Linked DNA regions of Rattus norvegicus. Each later gene encodes a partner of the first gene's protein in a complex. Links are inferred from orthologs where the notes say so. Each region holds a gene or a part of one and is shown in the gene's direction. Other genes may lie near its edges.

Region 1 (3,876 bases):
GTGTGCATTATTGCCGGCTTCACTCAGCTCAGAGTTTAAAGTACCCTCTGTTCATAGGGCCAGGGTCTGGCCTCCAAATGAGGCTCTGAGGTTCAAGCAGCTCTTAGCAGGATCCCGGCTACAGACTTTTCTGGAGAGCAGAACATGCTTACTTGAGCCCTAGATTCTTAGCCCAGAGCTGGCAGGATGAGGTCTAGCCTACTTCCCTTATCTTCTTGGTGGTTATAAAATTTAGCCTAGAGGGTGGGCTTGGTGCTTGACCAAGTGGAAGTTACTGCATTCCGGAGTCCTGGGGACTTAAGCAGGCCTCGTACTCTGTGGTGGGGCAGGCTGGCCGAGAGGCTGAGACTCTGTTTCAGTGACTTTGTTTTGTTTTTAAGTCGGAGTTACTCAGCTCTTCAAAGCCCAGGTGTAGAGCTCGACAAGAAGAAACTAGGACTTGAATTGTGAGCAGCCTTCCCCTGAGGCTGCGGGTGAGCCAGGGGACTGAAGCCCAAGCCCCAGAAGTGGGGAACAGATGTCTGGGTGGGGCCTATTCCAGGCCTGCCTGGGCTGCCTTGCGGGGGGATTTCCTGGAGGGCTCAGCAGTGCTATAGGCTTTATGAACCTTGGTGGAGAGCTTTTGGGGGACCAGAGCGCCTCAGATATATCTGCAGTAACTCTAGGGAACCCTCAAGTCTGGGTGATGATGGGGTCTTAGAGCTTCGGCCACCTGAGGCTTTTCTTTTGTCCCCTCCCCCCTTCTATAATCTCTGGCTCTGGCTTATTAGAGCAGAGAAACAGGCTGTCTTCTGCCTTTCAACAGCTTTGATGAATTTCTTCCTGATGAGGAGAGACTTGTGGCAGGACTCCCAAGGTCCCAGGGTCTCCCACTTTTAACTCCTCAATTGCCACTGTATCCTTGCTCTGCTCCTATCCCCTTTCCCTTGTCTCTGGGTCGTGTTTCTTCCCCTCCCTCTGCTACTGGTCATGAGTCTGACTCCTTAGTGCCAGATAAAGAAGTCGCAGAGACTCATCTTCAGGATGCTTGGGTGTGGGGGTTAGGGGGTGGGCCTTTAACTTGGTATGAATCTCCACCCAGGCTGGCCTGGTTGTCTGGTTGTACTGATTGATTGCATAACCTGGGCCCCGGGGGCCAGGCCTGTGAAGCTGCCAGGGACAGTGTGTGCAAGGCAGAGCTGCCAAACAGGCCTTTCAGGCAGCAGCTATGTGCATGGAGCTGGGAGGTGGAGGGCTCCCAGAAAGGTTGGAAAACTGGGCCTTGGATGGGAAGTCAAGAAGCTACTCGTGTCACCCAGATTGTTGCTGTGACTCTGTGTCCTTCCATCCCAGACAGTCTTAGTCTGCAGTTTGGGCTGGCTAGGGTTAAGTCGGACCAGCAGCAGCCTGGCTGCCAGGTGGTGCCGAGACCATGGGCAGAGGCCAGATGTTTGCTGTTCTCATTCCCATAGGCCACCCAAGAACCATAATTTCCCTTTTTGAGGGTCTTTTGACATAGAGATAGGGGCATGGCAATGGGGGGGGGGGGGCAACAACGGGTTCAGGTTTTGTAGGGGCCATATGGTGACCAGATGGTGTCTATACTCTCCTGAGGCCATCCCCACAAGTTGTGACATAGCAAAGCCATACATTATACTGCTCACCTGAGGTGCTGCTGCCTAATGGTTTGCCATCCCTACTGCCTTTCTTCCCGTCATGCCACCAGGCACAGGCTGTTTACATCCTCCCGGACTCCCCTGGTTGCTGTTGCTATGCATTGCCTCTGGTCTCCCGAGTAATGTTTTTCCTTCAGGATGGGGAAAGGAAGAAGGGGTGTCTAGGGGCTATCTAGGGACTCTATAAATACCTTGAAGCTGGCCGATCCCAGGGTGCAGGACATAGCATATTGGAGCTGGAAAGGTGTTGATAAGTCCTAAAAAATTCCCCAGGTCCTGCCTTCTGCAAGAGGCACTCTCCTCCCGCCCATGGACTCCGGCTGCCTCATTTGTTGGCACGGCTGCCAGGGCGGTTGCAGGGGCGGGGCAGGTGTGGTTTACACGCTGGGCTCAGGCGCCTGTTCCCCTTTGTTCCTGGTCTCCCCGTGTGAGAGGGAGATGGAGGGTATGGGCTATGGACCTCGTAGGGCTCTCCCACTGACCTGTGCCCCTCCACTGTTCCACTTTCCCCAGCGACCTGGCATGTCCCCAGGAAGTAGGATGCCCATGGCTGGCTTGCAGGTGGGACCTCCGGCTGGTTCCCCATTTGGCACAGCTGCTCCACTTCGACCTGGCATGCCACCTACCATGATGGATCCATTCCGAAAACGCCTGCTTGTGCCTCAGGCCCAGCCCCCGATGCCTGCCCAGCGCCGAGGGTAAGACCTTGCCTGTCTCGTCTCTGGTGGTAACCTTGACCACAAGGAGACTCTTGGCAATTTGGGAGAGGGTTTTGAAGATAGTGAGTTTGGACTGTTAAATTCTTAAATGGGTTTCTGTTTTCCTACTAGGTTAAAGAGGAGGAAGATGGCAGATAAGGTTCTACCTCAGCGAGTAAGTGTGTTACGGAGGCCTGCCCAGGTCTGGCTGGCCAGGGTGGGGGTCCTGGAGTGAGCAAGGAGGGAGAGTGTTAGAAGTAGAGCTGGTGAAGCAAGCCATTGGATTTCTCAACCTGCAGATCCGGGAGCTTGTCCCAGAGTCTCAGGCATACATGGATCTTTTAGCTTTCGAGAGGAAGCTGGACCAGACCATCGCTCGCAAGCGGATGGAGATCCAAGAGGCCATCAAGAAGCCTCTGACGGTATATACTACCCCAAGTTCTCCCAAACTATTTTTCCTCCCTGGCCTTGTTTTCCAGGGAAGAGCTTGGGCTTGAGCAGTACTTCTCACACAGGGAGCCATCCATCCACTAGAGCGCACTCAGTTTCGCATGCGTTGAGGTGGTGTCTTGCTACAAATGGCTACTCACTCAGTCCTGCCTCTTCTTCCTCTTTAGCAAAAGCGAAAACTTCGGATCTATATTTCCAATACATTCAGTCCCAGCAAGGCAGATGGTGATAATTCAGGAACTGCAGGGACCCCTGGGGGAACCCCAGCAGCAGACAAGGTGGCCTCCTGGGAGCTTCGAGTAGAGGGAAAACTTCTGGATGATGTGAGTTGGGAAAAGAGGTATTGGGAGGGAGAAGGCGTGTGTGAACTTAGACCATGGACAGACATGAGCGTCTTTATGAAGTCCGAGCCTAGGGAAAGGGTAGATCTACCCAGTTAGAGGTTAGACTTGCTGGTGGGGTTGTTGTTTCTGTGCTGGGGATCAAAGCCTGGACCTCACACATAATATACTGGTCCAGAGTGAACATCTGTAGTTACTGCACTACAACTTTCCTGTAGATGGCAGTCAAGGGTCTTGGATTCACTCCCTGATTGGCTGGCAGTGGGGTTCATGAAGAGCCCTTTTCCTGCCACTTTGCCCACACATTGATGCCGACTCGTTTCTTCTGATGAATAAATTCAGCAGCACACTCGTCTTACATAGCTCTTTCCTCTCAGCCTAGCAAACAGAAGAGGAAGTTCTCCTCATTCTTTAAGAGCCTTGTTATCGAGTTGGACAAGGAGCTGTATGGGCCTGACAACCATCTGGTGGAGGTAAGAGTGGTTCTAGAGTCTGGGAGGGACAAGCTGTCAGGGGGTACAGCGCATGACATCAGTGTGCTGCTGGCAGAGTGCTGTAGCCCATCTGCTAGCGATGAACTCTGCGTTCTCTTGCCTGACAGTGGCATCGGATGCCCACCACTCAGGAAACAGATGGCTTTCAGGTGAAACGGCCAGGAGATCTCAATGTCAAGTGCACCCTTCTGCTCATGCTGGATCATCAGGTGACAGTTGCTCAGGGTCACAGAGAGGG
Region 2 (4,193 bases), on another chromosome or scaffold:
GCCTAGGGAGCTTAAGAGGTTTGCTTTGCAATTTCAAAGTAATTTCATGTGCATTATTTCTTCAGTGCCAAAAGGCTATGAGTACACTTTGCTGTTTTCATTTGGGGTTTTTGTTTGTTTGTTTGTTTGTGTGTTTTGAGATGACATTGAACTAGTACTTCTGTCTCCACTTTCTTAATGGTAACATTGCATGTGTGCACCACCATGCCCAGTTCCATGCGGTGCTGGGATTGAACCTGGGGCCTTCCAATCCGCTAGGCAACCACTCTTCCAACTTAGCTGTCTGCTCAGCCCTTGTTCCCATTTAAAGATGAAGAAACAGATCTGAGTTGCGATTTGTCCAGCATCCTACAGATAATTAGAGGCAGAAGGTCTGACTCCTGAGTGTGGGTCCTTTGTTTCTTTCACATTACATGTTAAAATGTATACTTTGGATAAGAAAAATGAAAAAACCCGTCTCTTGTATCTTTTGTCTTTTGAAAGTGTGTTAATGATTAAAGGATCTGGGCTGTCGCATCATCTAAAACTGCAATATACGCAATACTAATAATTTACATTTTTTGTCATTTGCTTTCTAGTGCATTATAAAAGGTCATTTTAAATTGCCAAAATAATTGAAGACTTTTAAAGCTCTGCTAAACTTAAATGCCGTGTCTTTTCAGTGCAGATAGAACTTTGAGAAAGAAATGTTTTTCTCTGATTCTTGGGTGGAGGGGAGGAAGAGTTTTGTAGAGTCTGCTCTCATGAGCCATTCTTGGTTTGTTCCAGCTTGCCAACACTTGGTGTCACATGTGAGCCTCCCACATGTGTTCACTCTCCATCCCAGCTCTGTGATTGAACTCTGCTCTTATTGACTAGGGGGCACTTGGGCAGGCATGCTCCATTCCTGGAATTGACAGTCATTTCATGTGAGTAAGGGTGAAACGCAGTGAGACATTTCTAAGCATGTGGAAGCATTGGGGTTTTAAATGAAAGAAATGTCAGGTGCACCTGAGAACTGACTGATGTGCCTGTGTCTCTCTCTTTAGCAGTTCTACTTGAATGTATGTTTTCTGTCTGTTCGTGACTCATTTTTATCCCTATTTCCCCTTTCTCTGCCTTGTTCTTCTCTTTCAGTTCTGAATAGACTAACTGAATAAGCCCTTATAAAGCCCTCCCTTCTCTCACTGGCTTCAGTTGGCCTGCAGACATAATGAGGAGATTGGCTTTTCGAGGCGCTGGTTGTGCTCTGGTAAAGCTGGTAAATTACTGATCATCTTCACCCTTTCCTGTCTCTGTCGCTCTTTACCTTTCCCTCAACGTTCGGAAGTTTGTAATAATTCTTCCCATACGAGTCCCTCCTGTGTTTATCAGAGCGTTTCCAAGGATTAATCCTTAATTTCATTAAATTGTGGAATTATGGCCAGTTAGCAGTCTTTTATAAACAACAACAGAACCTGGGTGTTCTTAACCTAAGGATGTAGAAACTTTTAACTACTTTTAGTCAATTTCAGACTAATATTCTTGGTAATTAAACCAAAGCCTGTAAGAAGGGACATGATCGCTGTGGGTTCTGTTTTAAACAGAGTGTGGACTTTAGTTCAAAGCAAGAGGTAGTGGGCCCCTCTTGTTTCTTACTTGCTCAACAGATTTTTTTTTGCTTGTTTTTGTTCTTGCTTTCTATTTCCTGGAGATCCCCAATTTTTCTTTCTGTAGTACAGGCAGCCACTGGTCTACTGTTGTTTATTTAGTTGAGCGAGACTTAAGTCTTTTTTACTTTTACCTTTAGGAAAGCCCTTTGAGATTATAATGCACTCACTATTTGATAGGACTGTTAAATTATGTAAGCACTGTAGGACGTCCTGGGGTCTATGCCCTTTACCTATAGTAATTTATCTCTGTGGTTGCATTTCTTACATTATAGCCAAATGTGTATATTGTAAAGTTATGTTAAAAATGGTTTCTTTTCCTTTTTTTATTTGAGACACTATGTAGCCCGGGCCGACATAGAGCTCAATATGTAGACCATGCTGGCCTTGAATGCACAGAGAGCTCCCCTGGCTTTCTTGTCAAGTGATGGGGTTAAAGTGTCTATCAAAGAATAGTGTCTTAGAGATGAGGAAGGCATCTCAGTGGGTAAAGAGCTCGTGCAAAGGTGAGGATCTGACTTCGGATCCCCAGCACCCACTTAGAAGCCATGTGTGGGTAGGAGTGTCTGTAGCCCTCTCAGTGGAGGGGCAGAGACAGGTGGGTCTCAGGCACTGACTGACTAGATATTCTCCAGGGTTAATAAACAACCCTTTGTCCAAAATAGGGGGAAGGTGCTAAAAGGAGACATGGTCTCCAGCCTCAGGCGCACATGTGATGCATAGATGCTTAGGCAGGCAAGACGCTGTACACAGCAAAAGTAACTTTCTTAAATGTCTAGCACGTATAGGAAACCACATTTCAGGATAAATCTGGAGTAGACATGGTAGGCTAATTTAGAATGATTGACATATAAATGTGTGTACTTCTGCCAAATTTGCCCCATTAGAGGTTGACAGTACAGCATTCTGATAAGTACAAGGCTAAAAATCATTGAAGTCTAGGACTTAAATTAACAAAAGAACTTAGAGCTAGTTCAGTTCCTCTGGAAAGAACTATCAGCTGTCTTAAATGGACGAGCAGTTTGGTGATGTGTGTCCAGCTGAGAGTTAGTTGACATTGTTGACGATTAAATATAAGAACTTGGCTAATTATTTCTTATAGAAGAAGTTGGAGTCCATGGGGTCCAAGAGAAGAAGAGCCACCTCCCCGTCCAGCAGTGTCAGTGGAGACTTTGATGACGGGCACCATTCTGTGCCTACACCGGGCCCAAGCAGGAAAAGGAGAAGACTGTCCAGTCTTCCTACCGTAGATCCTGTAAGTAGCCCAGGCTTCACGCTTCTGCCCGCTTGCCCGTGGTTTGCCCACCCTTCCCTCTTTGCAGCAGTTGAGCAGCTACATGGCCTTTTCCCCCTCTGGTTTGATAGGTTTGTAGAAGTCTGTCTATAGCCACAAGTCTAACAGTAATGGTGTGATTTAATATTTTGAAGTTAAAGTATCAGTGAATTGTGTTATATATGTGGTGAGGGCCTGGAGAGATGGCTCAGCAGTTAAGAGCATTGGCTGTTCCTCCAAAAGTTCTGAGTTCAATTCCCAGCACCCACTTGGTGGCTCACAACCATCTGTAATGAGATCTGACGCCCTCTTCTGGCCTGCAGGTGTACATGCAGATAGAGCACTCATACATTGAATAAATAGATGTTTTAAAGAGGAGGTGAGCACTGTGTCTATATGTTGTGGCCAGAGTGCAGAGGTGAGCAGACAACTTGAGGGAGTCCAGTCTTCTTTTCCCATGCAGACTAAACTCAAGTCAGGGCTGGCAGCAAGTTGTGAGCACTGTTCAAGTTACTGAAATATGGTTATATTTGAGGCTCTCTCCAGTTTCACATGACGCATAGATTCCAGCGTGGAATAGAAACAAATGAATAAACTGTAATAAAGTACTAGCACCCAGTAGGACGTTCTAAGATGAAGAGTTTGTGATGTGGGGAAAGAGGAGCTAGTGAGTTAGCTTAGTAGTTTAATGTGCTTGCTTGAGTGCACAATCCTCCTGTCTTAGATTCTCAGTACTAGAATTAAAGTTGTGTGTCCCTAATGCCCAGCTTAGGTGACTTTTTTAAAAAAATTTATTTTTTATGAGTATGAATTTTTTTTTTTGCCTGTATGTTAAAGGCACTGTGTCCTCGGAGACCAAGAAAGGGTGTCAGACACCCTATACCTCAAGCTGTAGGCAGTTATTAGTTGCCGTGTAGGTGCTGGAAATCAAATTCAGGTCCTTTGAAAGAGTAGCTAGTACTCTTAACCACTGAGCTCTCTCTCTAGCTCCCGCTTTTTTTTTTTTTTACTTCTTTTGTGTATATGAATACACAACACACCAGAAGAGGGCATCGGAACCCATTACAGATGGTTGTGAGCCACCATGTGGCTGCTGGGAATTGAACTTTGGACCTCTGGAAGAGCAGCCAGTGCTCTTAACCACTGAGTCATCTCCCCAGCGCCCCAAACTTTTATTTTTTTTAAGTTATATTATTTTTAAACAGGAGGATTATATAAGCCAATAAGCTGATTTAGTCTAAAAGAAAGTCAGAATCAGACATGGTAATGAATACCTGTGATCTTAGTACCAG
Region 3 (4,193 bases), on another chromosome or scaffold:
CTGACAGCCCAAGTCTCACTCTGGTTCATGGATATGAACCATGGGAAGATGCCCGTGGGCAGGAGGAGATATTTGCAGGGTATGGGCCAGAAAGGAAAGGATGTTTCTTCCTCTGCTGCTGTGAGTGTCTGGGAAGGCCAGGTTCAGGTCTCCAGTTGTCCACATCTGTGTGAGAGAGAAGAGGTTTGTCAAAGGAGGAAGGGATGAGAGAGAAACCAGGGCAGTGTGAGTACCATGAAATGAGGCACTACAAATAGATTGGAATGTTTGCATTTTTCTGGTTTCAGAGAAGCTAATGACCCCAGAGATGTTTTCAGAAATACTTTGTGATGACCTGGACTTGAATCCACTGACTTTTGTGCCAGCTATTGCCTCTGCCATTCGACAGCAGATCGAGTCCTACCCCACAGACAGCATCCTGGAGGACCAATCTGACCAGCGTGTCATCATCAAGGTAGGTGCTACGAGTACACTCAGCCCTTGATGGAAGCCTGTCAGAGTTCCTTGCTGTGGGATAGTTTCTGGGATGACATCTTTCAGGGACAACCTGACTAAGTGCTCAGCAATGGGTGGGCTGACTTTTCAAAGTGTCACATTGTGGGTAGGACAGCCAGTGCTGCTGTATCCATCAGGGGCTGAGCCAGCCCCAGAGTTAGGAGACCCCACAGTGATGTGTGCAGCGTCAGTGTGATGTTCCTATGGGCTGGGCTAGAAATACTTCATGATTCAAATACCTGTTTGTATTCCTGCTTTCAGTTCTTTGGATTTATACTCCAAATTAAAGTTAAGTTAGTTAAAATTAAGCAAGTTAAAATTGGTAGGTCACGGTAGTTGAGAGCACTGGTAGGTCACGGTGGTTGAGAGCACTGGTTGCTCTTCCGAAGGACCTGGGTTTAATACCCAGCATCCACATGGCAGTTCACAACTGTCTGTAACTCCAGGATCTCACAACCTCACACAGACATACATATAAGCAAAACACCAATACACATTAAATAAAAATAAATAAATCTTAGGAAAGAAAGTTCTAGGTCACTTGGCTACCCTTTATTATGCTGAGGACCTACCAGACTTGTACAGGAGTTACACCGTCTTATGCCCCCACTCACCATGCACTACAGTGCCAGTTTCTCCCCGGGGTCGGTCAGTAAAAGTTATCATAACCAGCCTGCCTCCCTCCCTCGTTTCCTCCTTCCCTCTTCCTTCACTCCCCGTTTCTTTCTCCCTTTCTTGTTTGAATGTAGCCATCCTAATGGGTGTTGAGTATCAGATCATGTTGAATCTTTTTTAGCTTCCGTATCAGTGTGTGTGCTCTTATACATGTGTCTTACTGTATTGATTTTTTTTCTTTATTATCGGCGTGTGTCACCATGAGCATGTGGAGGGCAGAGCGCATGTTTGTGGAGTTACTGTTTTCCTTCCATGAAGTTTGGGGCTAGCTTATCTTTCTAAGGGGTGAAGGAACATAGGGTCAGTGTACTCGTGAGCTGCTTGGTAGGATGCTTGTAAAGTGGGGACATTAGGGTATGGATAATGGCTTAAAGTAGGCTCCAGGACAATCTCTGTAAGCAGAGCTCTGCATGGCCAGCATAGCTACATAAAGGTTGATTGCCCGAGGTGGGAAGGACAAGGAAGACACTGGTCAGTGTGGGACACAAGGGGATGAGAAGACAGGTTAAGAAGGGATCAGGTGCCCAGAACCTCAGTGTCTAGTGGCAACCTGGGAAGTTGGTTCTGTTCTATAAGGAGCTAGACAGACAAGGGCTAGCCTTGGTCCTCAGCTTCTGAGTGACGGGCATAAATGCTTCAGACCTGGCTGTTCAGAATGGCTTGTCCCCACCTCCTCCCGGCTTTCCTGGGTGACTAACTTTCCGGCTTTCACTTGTGCTTCTTGGTTCCTGCCGCAGCTGAACATCCATGTGGGGAACATCTCCCTGGTGGACCAGTTTGAATGGGACATGTCAGAGAAAGAGAACTCCCCAGAGAAGTTTGCCCTGAAGCTGTGCTCAGAGCTGGGCTTGGGCGGGGAGTTTGTCACCACCATTGCGTACAGCATCCGAGGACAGCTGAGCTGGCACCAGAAGACCTATGCCTTCAGGTAGGACAACTAGCACACTCACCTTTCCCCTGGTCTTGCATTCTTGTCACTCCTTGCCCCCACTGGGAAAGGACCTCATTGAGAACTGGAATGCTTAGGAAAAGCGAAAGCAGAGGGCTTTCTGCAGACGCAGTAGTTCAGGAAGTTTGTTAGTAGGTGTGAACTCAGATCAGATTACCAGACATCCCAAGAATCAGCTTTCTTAGGGATTTCTGTAATAGGAGCAAGAGAAAAGGGGGTCTGGAGAGAGGCAGTCTCGGGGATCCAGTGCTCTCTGTGGGCACCAGGAATGTAAGGGGTATGTAGCCATGTAGCAGGCAGTCACCCAAACACATAAAATAGTAAGAATGTTTTGGAGTGGGGGGGTAACAAGAAATGAGGTGTGTCCTAAAGGGTACGAGCCCCTCCACCCAAGCGCTTGAGAAGCTAAGCAGGCCCGGGTGAGTTGCTTGCTCAGACTCCTCTAGCAGCCCCTCGGCCAAGCAGTTCTGTTTTCTAGCCTTGATGTCTGTCCTTGTATGGAGCCAAGGCCAGCAAGCCTCAGCCAATGTAAAAGGGCTTTCCTCCCCGGAGTCAAGCCGAGGTAACATTGTTTAGGTCCTGGGAGTGTCACTGATACAGAGGATGCATCCACAGCCAGGAGTTGAGTGGGAACCCACTTTGAGATTGTGCATATGCTCCTAGCAGCAAGGTACCAAGTGTCTGCCTTCACCCTGCTATGCGGCAGCTTTAAGTGCTATGGTCAGGGCTCGAAGCTTCTCGAGGCTCATGATGGGTCCTGCTGGCGTCCTTTTCTTCTATTGCCAACCCTTAGCAGCATTTATGCTGTCATGGCCCAGGTGGCTTCCGGTCTCCTGGTCACCTGCAGTTTTTCCATGCTCTAGAACATGCCCTCTGGAAGGCACCCAGTAGTGTCACATTAGGACTCAGGGACTCTATTGCCTGAGTCCCAAATGTGGACAGGAAGGCCCTGGCTCTGCTGTGATCGATCCTTAGTTCTGGGTTCAGATTTCAAATCCTTGGGTGTAGGCCTACTCTGGTTGAAATCTGAGCAAATAAATGTCCTTTCCATTGTGACTTGCCTAGATTCCTGGAATGTCTCAAGTACTTGGTTTCAGAATCAGAAAGGGCTATTTTATCTTCCCAGCCAGTCGGGCCTGGTGAGCTCTTAGTACCTGTCCTGTGTGTTGGACCATTTGGGCAGCTGGGATGCTTCACACACTGCATGAGACCTAGCAGTGACAGACAGGACATAGGAGAATCAGAGGGGAACAGCCAGCACTCCTGATTCTCCCTGCACTCTCAGCTCTGCATCACTTCACCCCACAGACAACGTAGAACCACTCGTCACAGGCAAATAATTGTCCCTCCCATGCTTACAGCTCCTCCCTGGTAGGAGGAGTCCCAGCCTGGTCTTAGTTGTAAGGCTCTACCATGTTGGAAGCACACTAAACTTCTTTGAGCCAGGCTGCCAATCTCTGCATGTCTCTGTCCCATCTCCTTCCGTACCCAGCCTACCAGTCTCGTTTTAGGGTATCTGGCACCCTCTTCTGGCCTCCCATGTGCACTCCAAATATGTGCACATTGTATACATGCATATATATGGAGCAAAGCACTCATAGAATAATAGAGCAGATAATCTTTCTCAATTAAATTCATTTTTAAAAGAAGGGCTGCAATGGGGCCGAAGAGATGGCTCAGTAGTTAAGAGCACTGGCTGCTCTTCCAGAGAACCAGGTTCAATTCCCAGCACATGCAGGGCAGATCACATCTGTCTGTATCTCCAATTCCAGGGGATCCAACAGACATATGTGCAGTCAAACACTAATGAACATTAAAAAATAAAATAAATTATTCAAAAAAAGCAGGGCCTTAACAAATGCAGGGAAGCAGATTGGATCTGATGAGGAGGAGCCGATTAAGGCAGCAGGAGCTGTTGCTCTTAGAATTGCCTAATAATTCCTCCTGAGCCAACCCTGTGCTCAAGCCAGGGAGCAGAGAACAACTTCCTGCCTGGCACAGGAGAAAACAGGCATGTTACTTGTGGTCGTGAATATGGTTTGACTCTACGTGTGCCAGAGGAAAGGTGGCTGGG
Region 4 (4,193 bases), on another chromosome or scaffold:
GTCTGATAAAACAGCTGCTGCTCCCAAAGCGGGGCCCTTCCACCCCAGGGGGTAAGCTTATCCTCCCAGCCCCACAGATTCCTCCCCCTAACAATGCCAGAGCCCCCAGCCCCCAGGTGGTCTATCAGGTGGCCAATAGCCAAGCAGCTGGCTTTGGCGCGCAGGGGCAGACCCCTGCTCAGCAGCTGCTGGTTGGACAGCCAAATGTTCAGTTGGTCCAAAGTGCAATGCCACCCACGGGGGGAGTGCAAACTGTGCCCATTTCCAACTTACAAATACTGCCGGGTCCACTGATCTCAAACAGCCCAGCAACCATTTTCCAAGGGACTTCCGGCAACCAGGTAACTATAACAGTTGTGCCAAATACCAGTTTTGCAACTGCGACTGTGAGTCAGGGAAACGCAGCTCAGCTCATCGCTCCAGCCGGTATTAGCATGAGTGGGGCGCAGGCCGGAGCTGGACTTCAGGTGCAGACGCTTCCAGCCGGACAGTCAGCGTGTACCAGCGCTGCCCCCCCATTCAAAGGCGATAAGATCATTTGCCAAAAGGAGGAGGAGGCAAAGGAAGCAACAGGTCTACATGTTCATGAGCGGAAAATCGAGGTCATGGAGAATCCTTCCTGCCGACGAGGAACCACGAACACCAGCAATGGGGACACGAGTGAGAGTGAGACCCAGGTGGGGAGCCTGTTAAACGGGAGAAAGTACAGTGACTCAAGTCTACCTCCTTCACACTCAGGGAAACTTCAGAGTGAGCCCAACCCGTGCTCACCACTCAGCAATGGGCCATCGTTGGAATTAGGTGAGAATGGAGCATCTGGAAAACAGAACTCAGAACCAGTGGACATGCAGGATGTCAAAAGTGATCTGAAAAAAACCCTTGTTAATGGAATCTGTGATTTTGATAAAGGAGATGGTTCTCATTTAAGCAAAAACATTCCAAATCACAAAACTTGTAATCATGTAGGAAACGGTGAGGTATCTCCAGTGGAGCCACAGGGGACTTTGGGTGCCACCCAGCAAGAGACTGCCAAAGGCGACCAGCTAGAAAGAGTTCCCAATGGACCCGCGTTAACTCTGGGTGGGTCACCGGCCACCAGCAGTGTGCAAGAAGCTTCGAGTGTGGCGACACAGCCATTCAGTGGTACTGACTTGCCTAACGGACCTCTAGCTTCAGGTTTGACTTCAGATGTGCCTCATCAGCGCCCAAGTGTGGTTGTCTCACCGCGTCCTACAGCCCCTGTCATACAGGGGCACCCGGTCATAGCAGCTCCCCACTCAGGATCTAGAGGGCCCGCCTCCGCTCTGTCATCTGACGCTCGGTCTACAAACGGCACAGCCGAGTGCAAAACTGTGAAGAGGCCAGCAGAGGATGGCGATAGGGAAGCAGCCCCGGGAATTCCAAATAAAGTAGGGGTCAGAATTGTCACAATCAGCGACCCCAACAATGCTGGCTGCAGTGCCACCATGGTGGCTGTCCCAGCAGGCGCCGACCCGAGCACTGTAGCTAAAGTAGCAATAGGAAGCGCAGCTCAGCAGAAGCCGCCGCCGCCGCCAGCCTACGCGCAGAGCGCGCTCCCACAGGTAAGTCGCCGCGGCGCCTCCAGCCGTGGAGGCTAAGCCAATCGCTTATGTCTGAACGTGAGCAGTCGTGGTGTCTGTCGGGCATGTGTGCTAAAGACTTCCCTGCTTCTTGTGTATGAGACATTTCTCAGCTCCAGCTTCAAGGTAAGGGCTCTTTGAGTTTTGTGCGCAGTTTGACCTGTGGTGGATGTTGTTCCGGGCGGTAATGCCCAGTGACTGTTGATCTCCACACTTCCACGGTTTCACTTAAATGTTATAGTGACGGACACAAAGTAGACATTCAGTGAATTTTTAAACGTTTCTTGCATGTGAACTTAGCAATTCATCGGATTATGTATGTCTGATCGATTTTCCTCTCGGAGTCTGTTAGAAATCTAAATAAAATGATAGTGAACCAAACTCCATTCAAGAAGAACTCTACTCTTACAGAGTTATTTCATTTCCCCTCATCTTGTGTGCACTTGATCTTCCATTTGGTTGGCGCCCATAGGATAGTGCAGTCGCTAGCCCAGAGAGCAGTGAACGGCAGCTGGCTAACGCACTGTAGACTAACGCACGCCTTTTCCCAGTGACTCTCACCAATCCATCCTGTTAGCATGAGACTCTTAGCCTGTGCTGGAGGGGAGGACTCATGCTGACTAAGTAAATAACACATCTAGGGCCATCGCCCATGAGGTGGTGCCAAGACTGAAGCCTGGTTCACTCTGAAGGAAGCCAGCTCTCAATTTATAACTGACTTTTATATTACATTGTACTTATTTGAACTATCGTGTAGATTTTTAGGGCACAAATACAAAAGTTATACACAGGTGCCTCGGACCATTAAAATCATAGATTTTGTTGCTAATCTGAAAAATTAGGTACTAACCAGACACTAATTTTCTTTGAGAACACAGCTCATTTAAAAAAAAACAAATTATATTCTGAGCTGAGAGTATAAGAGTTGTTGAGTGGCTTGCCTTTCCTGTATAAAGCCCTGCTTCAATTCTCAGTGGCCCCCAGCTCCAAACTGCATCCTATGTCTCCACACTGGATGCTGGTTACCAGGAAGCAGGTGACGTAAGCAGGAGGTCTGTGAAAATGGGAAAACCAAAAACAATCCTGCAAGGACAACTTTGCGTGGTGGGTAACCGGGCACCTGCCACAGACGAGCAGTTGTAATGGCTCAGTTCTGCTTGAGCTCACAGAGAGGACCAAGCACTTCAGGGGCTATAGATGCCTGGGACAGACGTACGAACAAAAGCCAGGTCTGAAGTCACTCTGGAGTTGTTGGACTAAGGTGTTAAGAGTCCGCTTGCGGGGCTGGGGATTTAGCTCAGTGGTAGAGCGCTTACCTAGGAAGCGCAAGGCCCTGGGTTCGGTCCCCAGCTCCGAAAAAAAGAACCAAAAAAAAAAAAAAAAAGTCCGCTTGCTTCTAGGGAAGCCCTCCCTCCTGCCCAGGTCCTTTATCACCCATTGCAGTTCTGGCTGCATTTAGGACTTTGGTTTAACGCCACTTTGTTCACTGGTTGAATGGTAGTCTTCAGGGTACAAGATAGTGTTTTTAATACTCCACAGGGTCCAAGATAGAGTGCTTTTAATACCATTTTTTAATTTTTTTCTTTGATTATTTTTACATGATATTTAACTGGAAAGTTTTTAAACGTGTACCTGCTTCAAGGGAAAGTTCTTTACTTATAGCTCCTCTTCTAAAATCTGTAATATTTGCAAGTTCCAAATGCACCTTATAGAGTATTATTTCCAGATGGCCTACCCTCTGCATTTCCATGAATTGAAGTCTGGTAGAAGCAAAACAAAAAGCCCACATTAACATATTTATAAGTAAAAATGACCTAAAGATTAGAAACTTAAAAATAAATATTGGTTTGGTTTTTTTTCAGCATCATGTAAAACATGTTGTATGTTCGTTCTATATCTCTTAATCCTGTGATCTGATAGCTTGTATTTTGTTTGTTTTGTTTTATTTTTTGAGACAGGGTCTCACTATGTAGCCCTGACTGGCCCAGAGCTCACTGTAGACCAGCTGGCTTTAAACCTGTAGGTAATCGCCCTCCTTCTTCCTGCTGGGAAGCGTGTGCTACCGTGCCCAGCTTTCAGTAACTTGTCACATTGTTTTCTACAACAGTAGTTTACTTCTTTTGTGCCTTTCCCATGTTTTGTGTCTCTCACTTGTTCTAACAGGACACATTTTTAATGTGGTAGAGAGCACTGTTTTTGTTTTTTTTACTTCTTTACCTGTTGGTCCCTTTCTGGTTTGGTTTTGTTTTGTTTTGATTTCTGAGACGATATTCTACTATATAACTTCAGCTGGCCTCAAACTCCAAACCCTGATGCCCAAGTTCCTGAGAGATGGGGTTTATAAATCTACCAGGCTCAATTTATGTTTCAGTGTCAGACTTCCTCAAAGGTTTGTAATACTAGGGAGGGAATTTAAGAATGTCATATCAAAGTATTATCAATGGTATCTACAATTGTTAGCTATAATTGCTCTTTGAGCAGACAATAAAGGAAGCAAAATTATAGGTCAGTAAAGTGAAGGGTATCGTTTCTAGAAATAAAACTGCTAAATTCATGAACATTTTTGTTAATTTTATACTATGAAGCAAATCA

What was found.
Region 2: Smarcd2 (region 1) and Pbrm1 share a complex: the UniProt entries of both Homo sapiens proteins name them as parts of the SWI/SNF-B (PBAF) chromatin remodeling complex. The link is inferred for Rattus norvegicus from reciprocal best matches to the Homo sapiens genes SMARCD2 and PBRM1.
Region 3: Smarcd2 (region 1) and Smarcb1 share a complex: the UniProt entries of both Homo sapiens proteins name them as parts of the BAF complex. The link is inferred for Rattus norvegicus from reciprocal best matches to the Homo sapiens genes SMARCD2 and SMARCB1.
Region 4: Smarcd2 (region 1) and Arid2 share a complex: the UniProt entries of both Homo sapiens proteins name them as parts of the SWI/SNF-B (PBAF) chromatin remodeling complex. The link is inferred for Rattus norvegicus from reciprocal best matches to the Homo sapiens genes SMARCD2 and ARID2.

What each region holds. Positions count from the first base shown.
Region 1 is NC_086028.1:91,696,088-91,699,963, reverse strand, and holds part of Smarcd2 (SWI/SNF-related matrix-associated actin-dependent regulator of chromatin subfamily D member 2), read left to right. Parts: intron 1-2,168; coding exon 2,169-2,353; intron 2,354-2,485; coding exon 2,486-2,528; intron 2,529-2,652; coding exon 2,653-2,775; intron 2,776-2,970; coding exon 2,971-3,126; intron 3,127-3,521; coding exon 3,522-3,617; intron 3,618-3,745; coding exon 3,746-3,847; intron 3,848-3,876. UniProt on the Homo sapiens protein: Involved in transcriptional activation and repression of select genes by chromatin remodeling (alteration of DNA-nucleosome topology).
Region 2 is NC_086034.1:6,222,771-6,226,963, forward strand, and holds part of Pbrm1 (polybromo 1), read left to right. Parts: intron 1-768; 5' UTR 769-908; intron 909-1,116; exon of another isoform or gene 1,117-1,192; coding exon of another isoform or gene 1,193-1,240; intron 1,241-2,730; coding exon of another isoform or gene 2,731-2,745; coding exon 2,746-2,883; intron 2,884-4,193. UniProt on the Homo sapiens protein: Involved in transcriptional activation and repression of select genes by chromatin remodeling (alteration of DNA-nucleosome topology). Required for the stability of the SWI/SNF chromatin remodeling complex SWI/SNF-B (PBAF).
Region 3 is NC_086038.1:12,753,898-12,758,090, forward strand, and holds part of Smarcb1 (SWI/SNF-related matrix-associated actin-dependent regulator of chromatin subfamily B member 1), read left to right. Parts: intron 1-28; exon of another isoform or gene 29-165; intron 166-287; coding exon 288-454; intron 455-1,907; coding exon 1,908-2,098; intron 2,099-4,193.
Region 4 is NC_086025.1:129,409,631-129,413,823, forward strand, and holds part of Arid2 (AT-rich interactive domain-containing protein 2), read left to right. Parts: coding exon 1-1,583; intron 1,584-4,193. UniProt on the Homo sapiens protein: Involved in transcriptional activation and repression of select genes by chromatin remodeling (alteration of DNA-nucleosome topology). Required for the stability of the SWI/SNF chromatin remodeling complex SWI/SNF-B (PBAF).